Lytechinus pictus: one gene and its partners. The protein of the gene in region 1 purifies or fractionates together with the protein of each later gene. This does not show direct contact. Links are inferred from orthologs where the notes say so. Each region holds a gene or a part of one and is shown in the gene's direction. Other genes may lie near its edges. The genes, in order: protein POLR1D-like, DNA-directed RNA polymerase III subunit RPC9-like and DNA-directed RNA polymerase III subunit RPC8-like.

Evidence for each region.
Region 2: the proteins of protein POLR1D-like (region 1) and DNA-directed RNA polymerase III subunit RPC9-like purify together in Homo sapiens (affinity purification with mass spectrometry; 5 studies listed by BioGRID and IntAct, with this or other methods). This does not show direct contact. The link is inferred for Lytechinus pictus from reciprocal best matches to the Homo sapiens genes POLR1D and CRCP.
Region 3: the proteins of protein POLR1D-like (region 1) and DNA-directed RNA polymerase III subunit RPC8-like purify together in Homo sapiens (affinity purification with mass spectrometry; 6 studies listed by BioGRID and IntAct, with this or other methods). This does not show direct contact. The link is inferred for Lytechinus pictus from reciprocal best matches to the Homo sapiens genes POLR1D and POLR3H.

Annotation. Positions count from the first base shown.
Region 1 is NC_087249.1:40,694,402-40,699,610, forward strand, and holds the start of protein POLR1D-like, read left to right. Parts: upstream 1-2,198; 5' UTR 2,199-2,320; intron 2,321-5,209.
Region 2 is NC_087246.1:31,253,802-31,259,010, forward strand, and holds the start of DNA-directed RNA polymerase III subunit RPC9-like, read left to right. Parts: upstream 1-1,782; 5' UTR 1,783-1,880; coding exon 1,881-1,888; intron 1,889-3,599; coding exon 3,600-3,636; intron 3,637-4,627; coding exon 4,628-4,726; intron 4,727-5,209. UniProt on the Homo sapiens protein: DNA-dependent RNA polymerase catalyzes the transcription of DNA into RNA using the four ribonucleoside triphosphates as substrates.
Region 3 is NC_087254.1:6,939,105-6,944,313, reverse strand, and holds the start of DNA-directed RNA polymerase III subunit RPC8-like, read left to right. Parts: upstream 1-1,986; 5' UTR 1,987-2,076; intron 2,077-5,209.

The DNA of each region.
Region 1 (5,209 bases):
TAGGATTTTCAGTTACCCAACTGGTTCCAGTTAGAAATCATTTCCAGTTAGAAGTCATTTCCAGTTACCCAACTGGTTCCAGTTAGGATTTCCAGTTACCCAACTGGTTCCAGTTACCCAACTGGTTCCAGTTGGAAGTCATTTCCAGTTACCCAACTGGTTCCAGTTAGGATTTCCAGTTACCCAACTGGTTCCAGTTAGAAATCATTTCCAGTTAGAAGTCATTTCCAGCTACCCAACTGGTTCCAGTTAGGATTTCCAGTTACCCAATTGGTTCCAGTTAGAAATCATTTCCATTTGGAAGTCATTTCCAGTTACCCAACTGGTTCCAGTTAGGATTTCCAGTTGCCCAACTGGTTTCAATTGGTTTCAACTGGAAATTGTTATATTCCAGTTAAAACCAATTGAAACCAGTTGAAACCAATTGAAACCAATTGGAAATCCAACTGGTTTCAATTGGATTTTGGTCCTGGGAGGGGGGCAGCTTGCCCCCCCTGCCCCCCCGCCTGTTACGCCACTGACTTTAAATGACACATTGTTTATGTCATGGGTGACCGAGATATTGTTTTTTGAGAGCGAACTTTATCCGAGCTATTTGTTGGTTTCCCACTGCAATTTTCAATGATATTCTATCCCCTATTCTAACCATTTTCCGAGTAAATGCTTCTGAAATTTTTGTGTATAACACATCCTTGGTGACTTGCAGGCACCTGCTTAGCATGAGACATATTATGTTCTTCGTCACAGTCCCACAATGGTTAGAAGAGCAAAGCAAAACATGAAGCGTAGACAGGGAAGGTAAGTCCTAGTGCGAAAACGTTGAAGCTGTTGGTGCAAAAAATAAAGATGGCTGGTCTAATTCCACTTTGTCTCTATTTCATGTAGACATTATTGTCAGATCTAAGATCTGAACATTCTAAGCATTTCTTGTTTTCATGATCAAGATACGTATCTAACTAGAAACAAAATTTATGCGAGCGCGAAGCGCGAGCTGAATTTTTTTTTACACTGACCTGAAAAGTGCCACTTTTCGGACTGTTTGCAGTGACTCATGTGAAGGATACATATTTCACCTCCCAAATAATGCGAGCGCGAAGCATCAACTTTAAATTGTTTATATTCCGACTGGAAGAATTTTGACATTCTAAGCAATTTTTTTAAGATCGAGATGGGTATGTCTCTATAAACAATTAATGTGAGGGCTAACCGCGATCGAGCTGAAATCTTAATACACAAACCCGAAAAGGGCCATACTTTGAACTATTTGCAGTGACTCATGCGGAGGAACAAATCTCACCAACCATATAATGTGACGCGAAGCGCGAACTGATTTTTTTATCTCGACCTGAAACACTTGACAATTTTGAACAATTTTTGTAAACATTATCAGGATTATTTTGATAATTCGACCTAAAAAAATAGGTTAAGCACTTTTTTTATAACAATATATGAAAAAAAAACATTAATCATAATTGCCGAGCGCGATCGAAGAGCAAGCCGAAAACCTAAAAACGGGACAAATATTCTTTGTAATCATGAAAAGAATGTATCTTCCTAAATAAATGATGCGAGCGCGAAGCCAAAATTGAAAATTTGTAATTTTCCAATAGGTAAACTTGGCGTTAAAATAAATAAAATGAATCTCTAGCTGAGCACTAGTATCTCAAACAAATACAACCATGAAGCGCGAGCTAAAATTTATATACTGAACCGCAAGAGGGAACGTGTTAAGCACTTTATAACAAGATTGTATGCATGTGACTGCGAGCGCGTAGCGCAAGCTCCATTTTTTCAGCATTTTTTAAATTCATGATGGTGGGTATCTCGGTGAAAAAAAATAATTAAAACTCGAACCGCGGGCAGGATTGGAAACAGGATACTTTAGTCCCCCGGCCATGTTATACCGAGGTGTTTTTTTTCCTCAGTCATGTCAGTAAAGCAGAATCTCATTAAAAAAAGAATCATTCACTTTGGCTCCTCTTATCTTTTTTTCCCATCCTTTTCTCCCCTTCTTCCCTACCCCCTTCTTTTACTTTTTTTTTGCCCCTCCAATCGGGGAGTGGGGTCGGGCGGCATCTTCGCCCCCTCCAAAAGGTCTGCATTAGTTTATGTTGGAACAGGCTACATGTAGGCCATGTGAACGTAGCTGACAAGTTTCAAGCGGACTGTATACCGTACCGTACTTGTACTTATGACGCGACGTGCTTGAAATTATATAGTCAGCTGCGTTCACTTATTTGTCTGCTTTCACGAACGAACAGCGCAGAGTTGAGAAGTCCTTGTCGTGATTATGCGATGACTGACAGTGTATTTCCATTTGGTAAAAGAACATGTCATTCGTACTTTAATGTACTTTAAAAATGTGGGAGTTACTGTAAAAGAGAACAAGAGGGGGTCTGTAATTTAATCGGCGAAAAATAAAGAGCGTTTGTTTGACTTGAGTCTTTAGTTTTACCTTTGTCCCACACCATTAATTTACTGTGGTGCTAACCCAGGCAGACTCTCACGCCGGCGGAGCCGGCGCGGCGCGTGACTGAGTCTGAGAGCCTGCCACTTGTTCACTGCAATCACCCTGCCTGTGGAATCTAACGTTAGATCTAACGTTACTTGTTGTACTAGATCTATGGTAAGCCAATGCCCAATGCAGTACACAGCACACACTTAAAAGTTCAGACATTAAAATATCACTTTTGTGACCAAAAATTCTAATTTCCATACAGTTGCAATTTATTTTTTATTAGTAATTTGGGAGTACCGGTACCGTAATTTGTGTACGGTATTCACCAGAGCGCTTGAAAACTTGAATTTTGGGCATAATTTTGTGTATGCCCTCTTGTGGAAAGTAATACTATTACTAATATGGCAAGATAATTGTCATTTTTCAATCTCTATTTTTAAGAAAAAATAATTTAAAGAATCAAATTTACTTAAGACCAAGTTATAATATTTATGATGAATAGCTGTAAAGTGTAATGGAAACTGACAGTGTAAAAATATCAAGCATTTGTCCCAAAGAAAAAGAGAAAATAAGCCAAACATTGCCAACCTTATTTTGCCACACATGGAGTAGTAACAGAGAACAAGGTAGACAGGAATAACCGTCGTTTCTGGGGATTTATTCAACAATTTCTGACATTTTACTGTAATCCCCATTTACCGACGGTAGGGTGTACGTGTGGGCTCGCATGTGTTCTCATTCCCTCCCTTTTGTCAATTCACAGTCCAAAGTTTGATGTAATTTTACACATCGAATTTACAATCTAAGGATGTATAAACAACAAACTTTTGAACCTTGATATTTCAATATTTACATACTTTAAACGATATAGATGAAAAAGGCATGAAAAATATACTTTACCGATGTTTAATTGGGTTGAACACGATAAAAATGGTCAAAATGGCAGCCAAACTATAAAATATTTACAAACGAACGTCAACAATCACGAATGTGATATCGATATTGCTTTCGATATTATACGATCTGCTCCATATGCGAACGAAACCGAAGATAAACGATACTAGTACTAGTACTAGTTATAATCGCGATATATCGATTCGAGACATTAAGTTAATAACGATAATGACGTCATTCAAGATGGCAACTTGCAAGAAAAACCGTCAGGTCAGGTGAAAATGTCTTAGATGACAGATTTCTCAATCATCCAGAGGATTTTTTTCAATAACTCCGGCCCAAGGTATGCAATTACTTAAGTTATTTATATTTCCCTGATAATGGAAACCATGAAACTTTCAATTTTGCTTAAAAAACAGTTTTAAATCGCGATCTATAAAACGCTAGTTCACTATACGTTGGCTGTAGGTACGGGGCCCCATCCCCTTCAGTCTATGTATGGTGAGTGGAGCCAACGTAGTTCAGCGGAACAACCAAAATACAGAGACTGAAGCTTTTGGTCTAAGAACAAGGTAACTAATATCATATAACCTTGTTCATTGAATGAGTGACTTTTCTACTAGTACTAGTCTATACGTTAGTCTCCAGACATTACGTCAAACCCCCGTTTGGAGAAAGACCGCAGTTCAGATTGCAAACTGCGGTGTTATACCCCATTTTTCATGTGGATCTCCCAAATATCATTTCCAAGCCCTTATCAACCGCGCTTGGCCAGGTAATCCAGGGGTAATCCCCGCTGTCTCAATTTCACCTCCACATGCCAGTATATGAGCATTGAGCAAAGGACCAAAAGATAAACAACAGCTGTGCTATTACGTAAGGCTTCTCTGCCTGTAGTAGGACCTTCGGAATGAAATTATTGTATTCGATATTTAATCACGTTTTCAAAGGCATATTGTATTCAGTAATCCAATGTTAGTCCATTTTCAATTTCGAACGAAGAAAATCAGCCTCTTAATAAGGAAAGTAAGCCGGACTAAGCGAATAAAAATGACGGCATGTTTTGCAGAAACCGAGCTCAGCGCTGCGCATGCATCCCATCGTGTGTGGCCCCCTGCTGTGACTGTATATGCCGGGCTGTTGTGTTATCTTCGGACCGACGTCAAGAAACAGGTGTTTTGATACTTAAATTGCTTGCTTGGGGCAGTTAGAGTTTGTCGTACTTGGAGAAGAGAATTGATGAGAAGGGAAACTGGGGTATAGTGTTCTCAAATGGAAGTTTTTCGTCATGAGCACTCAAAATCTTGAATTTGGCTCTACTCTAGTCTTCTTGACCTAGTAGCCTTGAGGACTCCTTGATGAGGTTTTTTTTTAAAATATAATTTGACATCTAGACTATACTTACATCATGGAGCCTTGACACCCTGCCCATACGGTCCTCAGCGAGGAGACATCAAAACAAAGATGGATTTCCCTAGGAAATCTATCTTTGCCACAATAATTGTTGGGAAAACATGTAATTTTTCCAATTCGTAAGCCTTTATACTCTAAATGCACGTAAGTGCCTTAAAAAAGAACAAAAAGAAAAGGTGAAAATTTAAAATTTTCTTACCAGAAGATTCCCTCGTTTGCAGTTTCCACATGTTAACACAGTGACTTGACCTTTGACTCGGTCGTGAGGAGGTATGTACGTACAGGTAAATACGGAGAGAATTGATGCTCATGCATAGCTAATTGTGCTAGTATAATAAGATTCTAGGCCGACGTAGTGTATATTTTGGACGTTCTAATGTCAATGACAGGTTTAGAGTGTTAATACAGTTTCGCATCGGCCGATCTGGCGATGCTAGGAAAATA
Region 2 (5,209 bases), on another chromosome or scaffold:
TTGGGGGTCAATGGCATATGAGCCAAACAAATTTGAGGGTCCATAAATGGCATGTGGAGCAAAATAAATTTCTAAAAAAGCAGCAAGTGAGCAAAATTTTAGAACTTTTTTACACAAATATCTAATTTTGTGATGGATTTCGACATAATGCTAAAAAATATTATTATATTCCACCCCCTTTCCTTTTTTTTTTCTTGGCTGTGAAACTTGTGGGGGAGGTTCCATGGTCCCTTAAGCCCCCCCTCCTTACATCAGTTGGGTAGGGTAGTCCTTGAGACTGAAGTCTTATAAGTACAAGCTATATCTTTATTTTCACAAGAAGAATAGGTAATTCATAAGAACTATTTAATCAGTAATACGAGCGTGAAGCACGAGATGAAATTTTTAATAATAATAATATTAGGCATTTATATACGCCATCAATCTAGAAATAATCTATTCCGAGCCGCATTGTTTAATATTATTATTACCCCCACTTTATTTTAGCTCGAGCTGCCTTTCAGCGCTAATTGCATTCAAGAAATTAATCCTATATACCGGATACCCATTCACCTCACCTGGGTTGAGTGCAGCACAATGGGGAAAATTGTTTTGGAAAAATAGAAAACTAAACAAATTTTGATGGAAAATAAGAAAGAAAAACTGATGGTTATCATGCATTTTCATATCACTACCATCATGGGCGGAAATCCCAGAGGAGACAGGGGAAGCCCCCACCCCCCCCCCCCACTTTATGATATGTTTTATGCCGGAAAAATACTTCATTCAAAAACGAAATAATACATGTATCCTTGAATCTTTAATATAATATCATTTTCTGAATATTATGTCAAAATCTATAACAAAATTAGATTTTTGTTATAAAACTATTGAAATTTTTGCTCGCTCGCCTAGCTCTCTTGCAACTTTTATAAATTTTACCCAATATGTGCCATATCTAGCCCCCAAAAAGCACTCCTCTTGAAAAAAAACATATTATGATCATCGATCATCTTCAACTTCCTCCTTATCATCATAATCATACTTGCCATATAATCAGTATGATATTATTCTGTAAATTATCGCGGGATAATACAGACCACCCCTTTTATTATATACATATTTTTATTTGATAGCATTTATTCCATTCATCATAAAAACCAGAACAAAACAAGGTACATGCAAAGTTAACATATATTACAATTTATGTCAATGAAATAATTCAATGATACAAATCTGGAAAACATTTGAAAAAAAGAGTATATATAAATGAATGGGGAGGCAACTAGAAAGGCAAAGCCTTATTAGTGCTGCCACCTTTACAAAACTGGAAACTGAATATGTAATGTAATAAAAATGTTAATACTGAATACCAGATATAAACATTGAGCATAAAAAGGGGGAAATACAAATTTTGACACAATGACAAAATATATAGACATAGATGTATATCAACAATAATTACTATAAAAACGAAAGAAGAAAAAACACCTGAATATACGTTATTAGAATATTTGCTTAGAAGTTGGGTTTTATATCTCCTTTTAAAAACATTAAATGATGGACTAGGTTTAACAGAAAATTGTAATTATTCCAGATAATTGGTTCTTTGCTAAAGAAGTGCTTTTTTTAGTTAGGTGGAAGTCTGAAGATCCTTGCGTATTATAATAATGAACATCTATGACCCAGTAGCCACTGATCTGTATCTAGTCTATATAGTGTAAAGATTAGTGGATCAAACTGGAATTCTATGTAAAACTGAGGCAAATTTTCATGTCGGTCATAACTGAAAGATACCATACCGAAAACTTGAATAACAATGCACAAAAGAAAATGATTGGGACTACATAACAAGCTCGCTGTAGCCTTCCGAAGACGCGACCGAAAGACCGAAGAAGACAATGGAAGTGTAAGTATTTGTTAGGGAATATGATAACAAACATCTCATTTTGTTATGCTGTATGCACGAAAGGTGATTTTTATTCTACTTATTTAGTCAAATTTATTTGGCGTGTTTGGAAAAGCAGAGTCGGACGTCGGTGACGTGCATGTGTGACTGTGGCCATGGTGCCGTGGTTGTGTCTGTGAGTGAGTGTGAGTGAGTGAGTCTCACTTGCACTTGTCTTACCCCTTTCATAAACCCAATCATGCGGCTAATAGCAGCATAATTTGGTTGTAAAATCGGAGGAGGACCAGAGTTATCCGCTTCATTTTGATGCTGCAATTATCCGCATAATAGCGGCATCGGGACCAGATTTTGACTTTATGAACGCATGTCCAAAGTACAATTACATGACATACCGTTGGCGTTATAGATTATACGGATAATTGCCATGCCCATGGCATGATGGTGCGGTCACAACTCACAAGGTCACCCTTTTCCAACACAACTGCATCGGAGGGGGTGTGTGCGGTTGCCATGACGATTATCCCCCTTTTTCAGGACGGGCGCTCGTAAAAATAGTGCGGATTATTTTCGGAGTTTGTGAACGCAATTTTTATTGAATTATCCGCATTACTCTTAGCCTTAGGCTTAGGCGGCTAATTAGAGGATGGGTTTATGAATATGAAAGGGGTATCAGACTCAGATCAGTGAGTCTGACTGATGTGACGTTAACCCGGTCCCGGGGAGCTACGGCCCGCTTCACGGGCCGGAGCCCTGGGGGCCGTTTCATCAAGCTGTTCGGAAGTTAAGAGCGACTTTAAGAATGACTGGTGAACCTTTCTTACGCGCTTAACCATCACCAATGAATATACCATTTTCCACAAGAAAGGATCACCAGTCGTTCTTTTAAAGTCGCTCTTATTGTCTTAACTTAACTTATGAACAGCTTTATGGAACACAGTGACACACCCGGACTCGTCCATGTAATTAGCCAGGAGGCTCTAAGTCCTAGAGGAGTAGAGAGCTAAAATCATTTACTAACGTATGCTTACTCTCCAAGGAGCCAGGGATTCCATCCCATTCATCTGCGTGTACCGCCAAAAAACCTGAAACTTTCGCCCCCGAGATTTCTACTTTCCTTCCAAGCATGGGTACTCTCCAAAATAGGGTAGAATTAGCCTGGAGGCTTCTGGAGAGTAAAAGTCATCTACTATACGTAGGCTTACTCTCCATGAAGCCTTGGTCGGGATACCATTGCTCTACACATACCGTAGGTGTTCCCACGGTGAAATTAGACCTAAATCACACATTTTATTAGGGTTTTGAGCCCAAACTAACGTAAATGGGCCAAAACAATATTTACCCCTGAATATGATAACGTTGCGTCTATTTATTCAGTAAATAGTAGTAAATTAGAGAAATTATTAAGAGTACGAGCGTTTACTTACCCAGTCTGTTATTTTCGCCGTCTTTGTTATCGATACCTAGATACAAGACGCGTGTATAGAGGGCGACAATATCATGAGCAGTGCCAATTTAGATTTTAAAAAAATACTTGCATCGGCCGATAAATATCATGAATCGTTAAATACTTGCATTGGCCGATAAATATCATAAATCTTTTATGATATTTATCGGCCGATGCAAGTAAAAATAAAAATATATGTACATGTAGAATGAAGTTTTTGCTTCCTTGTATTTTAAAATGAAGGGTTCATTTTTCTTTTATTTACAGGATCAAAGAAAGTGCTGCTATGTTGAGCAACTTTGAGGTGAGTAATTTTAAGTTACCCTCAAGCTATGGTGTTGACTTTTGGTTTTGATAGCATAGTAAGAATGCTGTCACCAGTTGTGGTGGGGTGTAAAAATAAATCGGTCTGTATAAAGTAATATTTACACTGAAAATTGAGAAATACATGCTCAAACACACATTTTGAAAGAAGAATGATTATGTACTATGATTATTTTGATTAGAGTCACCAGAGAATTACATGGAAAAGGCACCTTTTTTATGCCAGAATATTTAGTCATGAAAGAGTGTATAAAATAAAGTGTCTGATGCTATATCAAATGCACAGATAAAATTGTTTTCAATTTTCTGACAAATTAGAATAATTTAGATTTTATTACTGTTGCTGGGGAGCTACTTGCATGTGATGTCACAAAATTAAACTTTAACCGATCTGTATTCTTATTCCTGAATGGATTTTTCCAAACCTTCATTAATACATTTCCCTAATTTTCTGCTTCTATCCAAATCAAATTGATATCAGGGTTAACTTTCCTTTAAATTTACCATTTCAAAGACAGAATACAGAATGTGATGCCCTTTGACCCCTATGCCTTGAACCAGAGTTTCCAACTATTAAGAAAAGTCATATTTTTTATGATTTTCATGTCAAATTACGCCATTACACTTTTGGCCTTAATTATTACGCTTCTGAGTTATAGTAGGTATGTACACATTTAATACACGCATAATAATACATCGTGCAGTGGTGATATTTACTTACCTGACTAGGCAAGCTAGTGCTTTACAAAAGTTATGTTGCACCCTAGATTAATATTCCTGACAACCGTCCTGTTGGGTTGGAAAAACATTGCATTTATGCACATTGTGCATCTGTTCTATATACCTCTAAGAAATTTATCATACTGTGTGGCACATATGAAATTATGACTTATCTCACAGTTATGTCTTTTGAGCTGCTGGAGTACTACTTGCAGCTCTGTTGAACTTTCCATCTTTCTTTGATCTTTCAGGTCCATGCTCTGCTTAAAGAATTACAATCGGGAAGCTCTCAGAGAGGGAAGAAGAGCATCAGTAAAAAGCAGCAGAACCTTGCCACAATATCCTATGAGGTATGTTATGTAACTATTCTAAAATCAGCCTGTTTGAGACTTATCCCAAGTACATGTAATCTTGGGATGTAGTCTATTGAGAATTTTCATTGCAGCAAGTGCATCTCTGATTCTAAATAGAAGAAAATTGAAGACAGCATTGCAAATAAAATAAGTTCCTCTGTGTTCCCCATTTTCATACCAAAAAAAAAAAATCCAAAGAATTTAATTAGTATAATTTGATCTTATTGAGCACATATTCGAGGCTGAATAAATTGATTGGATGTTGATTACTTTCTTTATATATTATTCGCATATGAGCAAAGTGAATGATAAAAAAAGAGCAGTAAGATCCGTTGGAAGAAAAAGTTTACATTCCTTTATCTTGATTGATAGAAAATTATAGCTCACCAGGAGATTCTATTCTCTTAATTACAAAAATTACTAATAATAAACAAATTAAATAATTTTTCATCCAATTGAATGTTGCATTTAGATGAATTG
Region 3 (5,209 bases), on another chromosome or scaffold:
TAGTGATTGATCGTAGGGCAGAATGCAACAGCTGATATTGCACTGGCTATTGTGCATAATCAGTAATAAAATCAAACTTTATGTTTTGTGTTCATGGGCCCACCTCGTGGTGTATTCTCGGGCACGCGTGGGAAAGTGTCGTAATTGGGTTCGCTGGTATCCCCATATCCTTGTCATTTTGTGTGTTGCAACCGGATTCATGATTTCTCCCCTCAGCACAGCGAAAATTTTGCAACCATCTCTGTTACCTCGTCCTGCCAACAATGATGTGCGCCGCCTACAGGCCGAAAAAAAAGAGGAACGTATTTTTTTGCAATTGAGTGAAATGAATTTTGCAACAAGAGTGAAATGTTTTACGTAGCGAGAGGAATGGATTTTCACGTGAGGAATGAATTTTACGTACAGTCTAATACGGCAGCCGCCGTCGTATGTGTTATCCAACAAAAGTGAAAGGATTTGTTTTCTCTCAGATTTAAAATGTAACAAGTGAAAAAGAAACTAGATTTTAATTCGTCGTGCGGACGAATTAGGTGGTCGGTCGTAGATAAACAGACATAATTATTCATACAAATGAGTGGATATAAGTATGAAAGATAAATAGACAGACAGATAGACATACATATTTAAACAGATACGTATAAGAAAGATAGATAAATAGATAGATAGATCGATGGATGGAGAGATAAATGATAGGTGGATTGATCAATAGAAGATAGATATATATTAATAAAAGGGATTAATATATAGATAGATATAAACAGATAAATAGGTATTAGATAGATAGACAGATAGACATTAGATAGATATTGATTGATGATAAAAAATACGATGAGGAGGATGATGCTGATGATTGATGGCAAATATGATGATGATGATAACGGTGATTATGATATTATATTTGATATACACATAGATTCAGAGACAGATAGATACATAGATACATACGCAGATAGATAAACAGATGGATAGATATATAGATAGAGAGAAAATAGATTGATATATTTATTGATAGATAGACAGATAGAATAACATATTTAACAGATTTAATAGATAGATATTAAATAGATAAACAGACAAATAAACAGACATGATTATTTGCACAGATCAATAGATATTAGATTGAAAGATAAAAGGTAGACATACAGATAGACATACATATTTTGAACAGATAGACTTAAAATAGATAGATAGATAGATAGATAGATAGATAGATAGATAGATAGATAGATAAAGATAAATAGGCAGATAGATAGAAATTAAGACAGATATACAGACATTTAAACAGCCGGATAAATCATTAGATAGATAGATAGATTGAATGATAAATAAACAGATATAGACATATTAAAATAAATAAATAGATATTAGATAGATAGATATAGAGACAGACAGATAGATAGATAGACAGACATATTTAAACAGATAATTGTTAGACAGATAGATAGAAAAATAAATAGTTCGAAAGATAGATAGATAAATAGACAGACAGATAGATGGATAGATAGATAGATTTAAACAGATAGATATATATTAGGCAGAGAGATAGATAGATATATCATGTAGGTAGATAGATAGATGAATTTTACGTACGGTCTAATACGGCAGCCGCATGTGTTATCCAACAAAAGTGAAAGGATTTGTTTTCTCTCAAAATTAAAATGTAACAAGTGAAATGATTCTTTTCAAAAGTGAAACATATTTTTTTTGGAAAAGTGAAATATATTATTTTTTGAAAAGTGAAATATATTTTTTTGAAAAGTGAAATATATTTTTTTGAAAAGTGAAATATATTTTTTTGAAAAGTGAAATATATTTTTTTTGAAAAGTGAAATATATTTTTTTGAAAAGTGAAATATATATTTTTTTGAAAAGTGAAATATATTTTTTTGAAAAGTGAAATATAAATTTCTTTGAGTGAAATGGTTTAGTAGAAGAGAAACATATTTTTTTCAAGTGAAATATATATATAATTGTTTCCCTATGGGCGTGCCATAGTCGAGCTTACAAGTTACACGATTTGCATTCACTTTTCTCGATTTAGGGTCCAAAGAAATCTTCTCCTCGGCGCCGTTGTATGTAAGTTCTTTTTGCATTTAAGTTTATTTCATCAATTAAAAGAATGAAAGTACCATGGAGTATGCAAGATTAGAAAATATTCATTTATTTCTTTGTTAAATCGAGGTAAATTTTGGTGATTCGAAACGTAACATGCAGAAGTTTAATGCTGTGTCCCATACGTAGTGATTTGTGTATTTGTTTTTTTATTATTATCATCTCAGTCATAGTCAAGCATAGTCATCATTAGACCAAAAGCTTCAGTCTCTGTATTTTGGTTGTTCCGCTGAACTACGTTGGCTCCACTCACCAAATACAGAGACCGAAGTTCTAGCGCGATCTGTACAGGGGACTCAATGGCCATATGTTTATGTACTTAAGATCGGATAAAACGGGGAAGTGAATTTGCGCGACAGCCGAGGTAAGTCACTGTTTTTGTTCCTTTTACCTTGATTTTTCTCCGTTTTTGGGCAATTAATGCCAAGAGGGAATATTAATTTGCATTTTGGTCGCGTTAATTTTCAAAATTTTTATTCATTAAAGACAAAAATTGAAGAGCCCCGACGGGGGGGATTTCGCATTGCAAGTCCCCTAATGGTGGCTGCACGCTAGCGAGCCGTCTGTGTACGAGAAGAATTAAAAAAAAAAAATGTTAAAAAACTCCTCGAAACAGACGGATGGCAGCTGTCTAAGTCATCATAATCTGGTATATTTCCAGGGTTGGGCGGTAAATACCGGTAGCGGTAATTACCGGTGGTAAATACTGGTAAATACCGTCCGGTAAATAAGATGGGCGTCCGGTAAATATGGAAAAAACAGGAAATATGATTTATAATTCTTTTTTGTCTCGCCTGCATAGCAGAGCGAGACTATAGGCGCCGCTTTTCCGACGGCGGCGGCGGCGTCAACATCAAATCTTAACCTAAGGTTAAGTTTTTGAAATGACATCATAACTTAGAAAGTATATGAACCTAGTTCATGAAACTTGGACATAAGGTTAATCAAGTATTACTGAACATCCTGCCTGAGTTTCAGGTCACATGACCAAGGTCAAAGGTCATTTAGGGTCAATGAACTTAGACCATGTTGGGAAAAAAATTTTCAAAATCTGAACCGAAGGTTAAGTTTTTGAAATCACATCATAACTTAGAAAGTATATGGACCTAGTTCATGAAACTTAGGCATAAGATTAATCAAGTATAAGTGAACATCCTGCTCGAGTTTCAGGTCACGTGACCAAAGTCAAAGGTCATTTAGGGTCAATGAACTTTGGTCAAGTTGGGGGTATTTGTTGAATTACTATCATAACTTTGAAAATTTATGGATTTAGTTCATGAAACTTGGACATTAGGTTAATCAAGTACCACTGAATATCCTGTGCGAGTTTCAGGTCACATGACCATGGTCAATGGTCATTTAAGGTCAATGAACTTTGGCCGTGTTTGGGGTATATGTTAAATTACCATCCAAACTCTGGAAGTTTATGGATCTAGTTCATAAAACTTGGACATAAGAGTAATCAAGTATCACTGAACATCCTGTACGAGTTTCAGGTCACATGACCTTGGTCAAAGGTCATTAAAGGTCAATGAACTTTTGCCGTGTTGGGGGTATTTGTTGAATTACCATCCTAACTCTGAAGTTTATGGATCTAGTTCATAAAACTTGGGATATAAGAGTAATCAAGCATCACTGAACATCCCCTGTGAGTTTCAGGTCACAAAACCAAGTCAAAGGTCAGTTAAGGTCAATAAACTTAGGCCATGTTGGGGTAATTGTTGAAGTGCCATCATAACTTTGAAAGTTTATGGATAGAGTGATTGAAATGTGGACATGGGTGTACATGTAGTTGACAGTCTTAAGTCTCCGTTCAAATGTCATTTATGGTCAATGAACGTGGTATTATGTCATTATATGAATGATGTTTTTGTGAATGATTATTTTATAGTAGTTTTCAAAGTTAGCACTGCTGCTATATTAAATTGCGTAATGCAGGCGAGACTGCCAGAGGCGTTCCACTTGTTTTCAATAATTTTAGTATTTTTTTTAGTTGTTTTTAACCTCAACAAATGAAAGTAGTGTTCTGAAATAATTAGAATCACAAAACTCATAGTAGCTAGAAACACACAAACAGATAAAATCCATACTGCATACATGTACATACCCAAACACACATAGGATCTAAGTCCACACATACGCACACAAACTCAAATTATGTTCCTGGAAATTGAATAATCATATTAAAACATAAACAAATATTTCTCTTGGGGTTTAACTTTTTACATGCCATTGTATCTCATTACAATATGATTTTTGTTTTAAGTGTGAATAAAGCTCTGTATTCTACTGTATGTAAGGAGTTTTAGTGTTTACATGTATGAGTGTGTACTAGTGGTTGCTGGTTTTGAATTTTGATATTGCTTACAGAAAAAGATCTTTTTGTAGCCTAAACAAGGCAAAAGCAATTTTGTGTCTCGCCCACTTATGAAAATAACCAGAAATATCGTAATTTGCGAGGGCACGCAAGAGAATTATATCAAACTTCATTGTGAAATGACTGGGATGGAATAACACTTGTCATAAGAGCCTTGCACGTAAACTTTAATGTTGACCTGAAAATGACCTTTGACCATACCATGTGACCTCCAACTGCAGCATAACATGCAGCTCGCCTAAGTACACCTACCATCCAAGTTTTGTTGAAAAATAACTCACGGATGCGGAGTTAGGTGTCATAAGAGAGTCTTGCATGTAAACTTGAACGTTGACCTCAAAATGACCTTTGACCTAACCATGTGACCTCTGACTGCAGCATAAGATGCAGGTCCCCCAAGTCCATCTACCATCCAAGTTTGGTTGAAAAGTGACTTACAGTAGTGGAGTTATGTGTCATTACAGGTTTGTGACAGACGGACGACGGACGACATTTGGATCCCTAAGTCTCGCCTTCACCTCTGGTGGGCGAGACAAAAATTACAAAAATTTGCCATTTTTGTCTCGCCCACCAGAGGTGAAGGCGAGACTTAGGGATCCAAATGTCGTCCGTCCATCGTCTGTCGTCCGTCCGTCACAAACCTGTAATGACACATAACTCCACAACCGTAAGTCGCTTTTCAACCAAACTCGGATGGTAGATGGACTTGGGGGACATGCA